2 linked regions of the Coturnix japonica genome follow. The protein of the gene in region 2 purifies or fractionates together with the protein of the main gene of each other region. This does not show direct contact. Links are inferred from orthologs where the notes say so. Each region holds a gene or a part of one and is shown on either strand. Other genes may lie near its edges.

Region 1 (3,500 bases), on a different chromosome or scaffold from region 2:
TTTTTAACTGTGCAAAGCTTGTGTCAATTAAATTTTATTTGGGTTTTCTAGATCCGATAACAGAAATGGAACGTGAGCGTAGAAAGCAGCAAAGTTCATATTACCTCTCATCTACCCTTATATCTCAGTTTACATTAATAACTCGATGAAGCTGTGAAAAACACACCACAGATTGACAAAAGGAAATGAAAAAGAAAAACCCTGTAAGACAACAGACCAAGGAGAAAATGTGTAATAGTGTCTCTTTTATTATTATTTTTCCTTTGAAGATTATCTAACATCCTCGTGGTAATAACCCAAGGTAATATGTAAACAAATTTCAATGCTGCTCAAATGAATCAAAGTATTCTGTTCAGCTCCTACAACAAGTCAGAACAGTGGCACCAATTCCTTTCAACATTAAATCACATTCATCTTATTGTACATTACTCTTGTGCAAGTAATAAAGGCTTTATTAATGACCTTGGCTACATCAGTGTAGTAAAGAGAGATATATCAGCTATTAATGTATTTTAAAAAATTAAACTGACAGAACATCATATTCTGTCATCTCAAATACCAGCAGCATCTTTCTACATATTTAGGATACGTTTGGCCTAAGCCTTTAACACCTTTTAGAACAGCCATGCAATAAAACAAACTTGGAGATGTTTCTTAAGAGAGAACACAGAGCAGTTTAAACATTTTTTTCTAAATAATAAAGCCAAGATAAAGCAAATCCAGGCCCTTTTAAATGGCTGCAACTTTTCATACACTTAAAGCTCTATAAAACTAGAGCTTATTAGTATATATATTTATATTTTTAATATATATTTTAAATAAGACTCTTGTCTGCTTTCAACATTTATGAGGGATTTTTCTGGTCTTTTGGAAGGGCAATAAATAAAAGTAGAAAAGGCTGAACTGTTTTGCATATCTCTGTGGAAGAACGGAGAACAATTATACTTTTTAGAGTTCCAGAAAGATCACTGTACAGAACAAAAAGCTTATATACAATTAAGTGTGCAACTTTAGTTGGCTGAGCCTTTTAATATGCAAAGTCTCCTTTTGGACTAGAAGCTGCTTCTACTCTTGACCAAATCCCTCTGTCTCTTCAATGGCAAAGAGCAGCTTCTCTTTCAGTTGTTCGTAGCTTTTATAGGGTGGCAAATCCAAACGATTAAAACTGAGAAAGGGGGGGAAAAAACAAGAAAAACTATGTTAAGTTCATCTGAATGCCATGCAGAACACTATTGACTGCTATAGTAGGAGCTAGAAGTGTTCCAGTGTAGCAATTAGAAATGAAGAAGTGTCAGTCAATGACATTTCACTACCTTAACATTTCTATGAACAGTAAAAACAAAGTTTTAGATCAATGCATTTAAAAACAAAAGGCTGGTATCACATCAGATAAAGAAACAGGACCTTTGAGGTCTCAATTAAGCTCTTTACAGAGATGCGGAGAACTGTAATACTCATAAGAGGAAACATTTAATTTGATACATCTCCAAATTCCAGCAGAAGGGTGAAATGGCTAAAGCCTTATCCCTTCTACATGTGCCTGGAAATAAGTTTTAACTTTTCCTTAAGCTTGGTCCCAAAAACCCTCTGCCACAATTCTGTTTCATTCTGAGTCTTCCTGAAGTTATCTTCCTGATAGCAGTTTTAAAAGCATAATGAATATTAACGTCACAAGGTTGCAGCAGCAAAATTTAAGATTAAGGGAACCAGAAGAGTTCTCAGTATTGGGGTGTCAGAGCAATCAGAACTGAAGACAGATATAATGATTCCAATTACATTTCCTTTGATTTGGTAAATGCAAGACCAGAATAGAGGAACCACTAAAGGTAGAGAAAGTTTACAAGTAACAACTTACCAAGTGTGACTTCTTGGTAACCAAGTTTCCTTACCAACTTTTTCAATGCAGAATTTCTGAGGACCATTACTTCCTAGAAAATAAGAGTAAAATAACTGGAATCTGTTCCTCTGAAGTAACACACAAGACATCTATTGGATACAAAACAATTCAGATAAAGCACTCAGAAATCATCAGATGCTACTTGTTATTCAAGATTGTTACAAGAATATTCTGCTAATAGAAATAAGCTAATTTCCTAATCATTTATAAAGTTATTCCACTTGATTTCTGATCTAAAAAGACCTGTGAGAACCAAGCTGATGTACCAGAAGTTCCTGACATCCACTTACAGCCTGGTTCTTTTGCAAATGGAACAGTTACAGTCTAAAAGTTTGGGTCATTCTTCACTTACCCATAAGTTCAGCAAATCCACCCAGAGGTAATCGACAAGTGCCAGTGACAAACTGCAGAAGTCGCATGCGAACCTCGTTGTCTGTCTCTTTTACAAACTAGGGACAGAGATTCAAATTACTTAGTAAAAAAATAATGGACAAAGCTGGAGAAAACAAAAAACCTACAAGACTGTTTAAAACACATCATTCTATTTCAAATGATACCTTGAGAAAAGCTCATCTTTCTCCATTTCAGTAAAATTGAGGGTGGGGGGAAAAAAAGACAGTGATTTCATGTTGTATGCACTATTGACTATTACAATATGAAAGCTGGTGAACAGCTATCAGCAAATATGAGGAGTCTTTGCTTCATTCTAATGCGCTAAAACACAGAACACACCAGTGCTATAATTAAACATGGCGATAGCCTTGCCTCAGGCTTGGAGCATCAAAAGACTCAAGTATTCCCCGCTTATGACAGTCCCAGTGAGAGAGAACACCATCCTTCACAGCTATTGCACTTTTTAAACAGAACTACTGGGAAGGTGAAAAGGAGAGAGAGAAGGAATTGATACAGCTGCAATTTTAACTCTAAAGCCTCGATAACAAAACAAATACTTTTTCATTCAATAAATGCTGATATCATTTTCAAGCTGCTTGAACTTCTGATCATGAATCTTTCAGTAATGACCTTAATGGTTTTATTTTTTTCTCCTGAGAAATATCATTAAATCTTCCATTGCACTGAATACACGGATAAGCTAAAAACAATTGATCTCTATCACTTTTAGAGTAACTTTATCAAAAGTACATCTAGAATAGTGATTTATCACAAGGCAGGAAATGCCCATCTGGGAGTCCCCTTTAGGGAAATTCATAGCTCCCGGGAGTCTGTTGTTTCGCTTGTTGTTTGTTTATCTGAAAATAATTCTTAGCTCACTCAATTAAAATGTGACTTATAATTGGTCAGCACAAGACTGGCACTGATAACATGACAATAATCATAAATAATGATGTACTACACACATTACAGACATTTAGAAAGTACATTACTGCCAACAATAAAAAAAAGCTCTACCATAATACAATCAATTAAAAGGACAAGATCTAAAAATCAGTATTTATGTTTCAGCCATTCAAATATGATGCAGGTATCTCACTGCCATTTCCCACCCTACACTATGCTCCCCAAGAACTCTGTTTCTCAGAAAATAAAAAGAAAGGAACAAGTGAGAGCCTTCCTTCAATTGGCATCCCTCCCCTTTATGTGT
Region 2 (4,035 bases):
GCTGAAACCCCTTGCATCCCTGTGCAACCTTTTGCATCCCATTGCATCCCATTGCAACCCATTGCATCCCTTTGCGTCACACCGCGATCCCCTGCAACCTCTGGCGTCTTTTTGCGTCCCTTTGCATCTCATTGCATCCTTAGATCCCTTTGCATCCCCATTGCAACCCTCCGTATCACTTCGCATCCCTTTGCATCTCATTGCATCCCTTTAAACCCCTTTGCATCCCCATTGCAACCCTCCGTATCACTTCGCATCCCTTTGCATCTCATTGCATCCCTTTAAACCCCTTTGCATCCCTTTGCATCCTCCCGTATCTCTTCGCATCCCTTTAACCCCCCCTCAGCCCTGCAGCCCCACACAGACGGGCACTAGGACCCAGCGCGGCGCCGCCGGGCTCCGTTCATTCACGGGCACGCCGCTCCGCGCGGAGGGGGCGGGGCCAACGCGGCCAACGAGCCAATAGGAAGCGGCGAGAGCGCGCGTCACGCGGCGGCCGACCAATGAGAGCGCTCCGGGCCTGAACTTTTGCCACGGCGGACAAGTTGATACATCGCGGGGGCGTGTCCCGCCGCGGCGTCTCCCGCGGGGGGAGCGGCATTAACCCTTTCGCCGCCGCGGCGCCGCCGTGACCTACTTTCCTCTGGCGGCCGCCGCGGGTAAAGCGTCGTCGGGGAACGCGGCGCCTTTAAGAGCCCGGCAACCCGAGCCGCTGTTTGCGCAACAATCGGTGCCGCGCGGAGCCGCCAAAGTGTCTAGACTGGCACATGATGGGCGGCAGCCAATCGCGCCGCCGCTCGCGAGGGGCCCTGCGTGCGCGCCGCGGACACACAAAAGCTGCGCGAGGGCGGGCGGCGCAGCGCGGCACGGCGGGCCCGGGGCGGGCGCGCGGCGCAGCGCAGAGAGACACAGAGAGAACAGGGAGAGCAGCGGAGTGAGCGGGACACGGCGGAGCGGAGCGGGGCTGAGCGGCGTCTCAACGGGCTTCTCCTCATTCGCCTTGTGATCCTCCTTTCCTCGGCTTCGTTTTGCTGCTCCTGTTGGGTTTTGTGTATTTTTTTTTATTTTATTTTTTAATTCGCCTTTTTCATTTTTTTTCCTTTTTATTTTCTTATTTTTTATTATTATTATTTTTGAGGATTTTTTCCCCCGCTTCTCCTCTTCCATTATTCCATTTTTCCGCCCTCATCGCCGCCTCCTTTTTAATTTTCTCCCCCGTCGTTTTCCCCCCCCCCCCCCCCTCCCGCTTTTCTTTTTCCTTCCCCCGTTTTATGCCCGGGCGCTGCCCCCCGGCCGGCCCCCCCGTCCCCATGGCTCCCTGAGCCCCCCCCTATGCCCCCCGCCTATGCCCTCCCCGCTGGGCGCTCCCCATCCCCTCCGCCGCCGCCTTCCCCCATGGTGCGGCCCCGCCGCGGGCCGGGCGCTGCGGGCGGCTCCGGGGGCGGCGGCTCCGGGGGCGGAGGCGGCGGACGGGCGATGAGGAGATAGAGGCGCGGAGCGGAGCGAGCCCCGGGCCGCCCTCGTATCGTATGTTCAGGTCCAAACGCTCAGGGCTGGTGCGGCGGCTTTGGAGGAGCCGCGTTATCCCGGAGAGGGACGGAGGAGATGGGAACGGCCAAAGCTCGGAGCGGAACGCGACGGCGGTGACGGCCGAGGGACAGCGCATGGCACAGCCCAGCCGGGCGCAGGAGGGCGAGGGCCGCCCGGTGCGCTGCTGCCTGTTCGCGGAGCGGCCCGGCCCGGAGCCGCCTCCTCCTCCTCCACCCCCTCCTCCTCCCGGCGGCGCCTCTCCCCTCGGGCCGGGCGGAGGCGAAGCGCGGTCGCGGTTGGTGCTGCTGGAGCGGGAGCTGAAGGCCGTCACCTACGCGCTGCTGAAGCGGCTCAAGGAGCGCTCCCTGCACAGCCTGCTGCAGGCGGTGGAGTCTCGCGGCGGCACCCCGGGCGGCTGCGTGCTGGTGGCCCGCGGGGAGCTGAGACTGGGGGGCGGCCAGGCGGCCCCCCCGCACCTGCTGCTGGGGAAGCTGTTCCGCTGGCCAGACCTGCAGCACCCCGCCGAGCTCAAGGCCCTGTGCGAGTGTCAGAGCTTCGGGGCGGCCGACGGCCCCACCGTGTGCTGCAATCCGTACCACTTCAGCCGGCTCTGTGGGCCAGGTGAGCGTTGGGGCGGGGGGGGGGGATGGATTCCTGTTCGTTTGGGGGTCGGGAGCGTCGCCACGTGCTTCGTTTAGGGCTGTAGGAAATGGGTTCTCCCTCCCCCCACACCCTGTTTGGGGCCGTGGGGATTGGGTTCCTCAGCCTCTCATCGGGGCTGGGGGAGATGTGGGACCCAGCATTATGGGGCCAGGAGGGTGAGGTTACCGTGTTTGGGCTTTGGGTTCGTGGGGAAGGGGATGTTCCGTTTGGGGCTGGGGGAGATAGAGGGACCTTGTTTTTCTCAGCCCCAAACTGGAGGGACCCCAGATCTGGGGACCTGCGGGAAAGGTCCCCGAGTTTGGGACGGGGTGGGTAAGGAGGGAGGATATTGCCCTGTTTGGGGTTTGGTTTGGGTAACTGGGGGAGATGAGGCTCCCCTGTTTGGGAATGTGGGGAGGAACATGGGGAGAGTTTGGGCCTGGAGGAGATGAGGTTCCCCGCTTTGGGGGCATGGAGAGCGGACCCCTCCGTGTTTGGGGCTGGGGCGGTCAGGGACGGACTCCCCACGTTTGATGTCGGAGATGCGGTCCCTGCAGTTCTGAGGGCTGAGGGGATCCCCAAACTCGGGGTGAAGGAAGCGGAATCCTGGAATCCCCGCTGCTCGGGACGATGCTCGGGGCTCGGCTGCGGTCAGGGAATGCCTTAACGCGAGCTGCGTTCCCAGCGCTACTTTTTCTTCCAGGAGGAAAAAAAAAAGAAAAAATCCTTTGTTTAGTTCTCTTTAATTTTACGTATATTTTTTCCCCTTATTTTTCCCTTCCCTTTTTCTTCCTCTCCCCCTCCCCCCCGGGTTCCCCCGCCATGCGGGGCCGCCCCCCGCCGCCTGCCCGCCGCCGGCGCCAGCCTGGCTCCCGCCTGGCTCCGCTTATCGCGCCCGGGCGGTCCCCGCCGCGCCTTAAAGCCGCAGCGCCCCGGGGCCGTGGGGCCGCAGCTCGGCCTTGCGTGGGGCTCCGCTTTTATGAACTTGTTTTTTTTCTCCCCGATCTGAACGCCCCGAACGACCTTCCTCCGCGTCCCTTCATTTTTTTTCTTTTAATTATTATTTAAAATTCCTTTTCCAACGCGCTGTCCCCTCCTGTCTTTGCATCGTTTGCTTGAAAGAAACTTCTGTGCTCCTGGAGCAGGAGTGTGTCGCTTTGATTTCGGCAGCCACCGAACTTTCCGAGCTGTTTTCCTGCAGCGGTTGTTGTGCGGTGTCCCATGCACAGCTTCTGCTGCATCCACTTTTTGGGGGGGCTGTTGAGCCCTTCAAAGCACCTTGCAGCCCGCAGGGCTCTCAGTGCACGGCCCCGGAGGAGTGCGGTGTTTTTGGGAAGCAGTAGGTGGCTGCAGAGCAGCGCGGGGGGATGCTGAGGTCGTTGTTAGGGCTGTAACTCGGAGCAGTGTGTGTGTGGGGGGGTGTTCTGAGCTGCAGCAGAGCCGCTGTGTGCACAGTGCTGGGGGTTGCACAGTGCTGGGGGTTGCACGGAGCTCAGGTGGTGCATCTCAGCAAGTTGCAGTTGTGGAAATAAAAACACTGGAGGACCTTGACCCGGTGTACAGCCCCGAGTTATGGCTGGCAGCAGCGGCCCTGCAATGCGTGGCAGCACCGCGCTGCTGAGCTGTGCAGTGGGGTGGGACACGGTGGGGGCACCTCGGGGCTCGGAGGGCTTTGCTGGTGGCCCATCCGCAGTGCTAACACACAGCTCTGTTTTCCCAGAGTCTCCGCCACCTCCCTACTCCCGGCTGTCTCCTAACGACGAGCAAAAGCCACTGGGTAAGTGCTGCGCTCCTTCCTGCCCCGCGTGGTCGGGCTGTCGGGGCTGCTCCTTGTTCCTGGGCAGGCGTCAGCTGAGGAGCTTT

The links.
Region 1: the proteins of SMAD6 (region 2) and WWP1 purify together in Homo sapiens (affinity purification with western blotting; 3 studies listed by BioGRID, with this or other methods). This does not show direct contact. The link is inferred for Coturnix japonica from reciprocal best matches to the Homo sapiens genes SMAD6 and WWP1.

Annotation. Positions count from the first base shown.
Region 1 is NC_029517.1:111,491,460-111,494,959, reverse strand, and holds part of WWP1 (NEDD4-like E3 ubiquitin-protein ligase WWP1), read right to left. Parts: intron 2,347-3,500; coding exon 2,250-2,346; intron 1,929-2,249; coding exon 1,856-1,928; intron 1,166-1,855; coding exon 1,066-1,165; 3' UTR 1-1,065. UniProt on the Homo sapiens protein: E3 ubiquitin-protein ligase which accepts ubiquitin from an E2 ubiquitin-conjugating enzyme in the form of a thioester and then directly transfers the ubiquitin to targeted substrates.
Region 2 is NC_029525.1:16,930,489-16,934,523, forward strand, and holds the start of SMAD6 (mothers against decapentaplegic homolog 6), read left to right. Parts: upstream 1-1,235; 5' UTR 1,236-1,529; coding exon 1,530-2,151; intron 2,152-3,892; coding exon 3,893-3,949; intron 3,950-4,035. UniProt on the Homo sapiens protein: Transforming growth factor-beta superfamily receptors signaling occurs through the Smad family of intracellular mediators. SMAD6 is an inhibitory Smad (i-Smad) that negatively regulates signaling downstream of type I transforming growth factor-beta.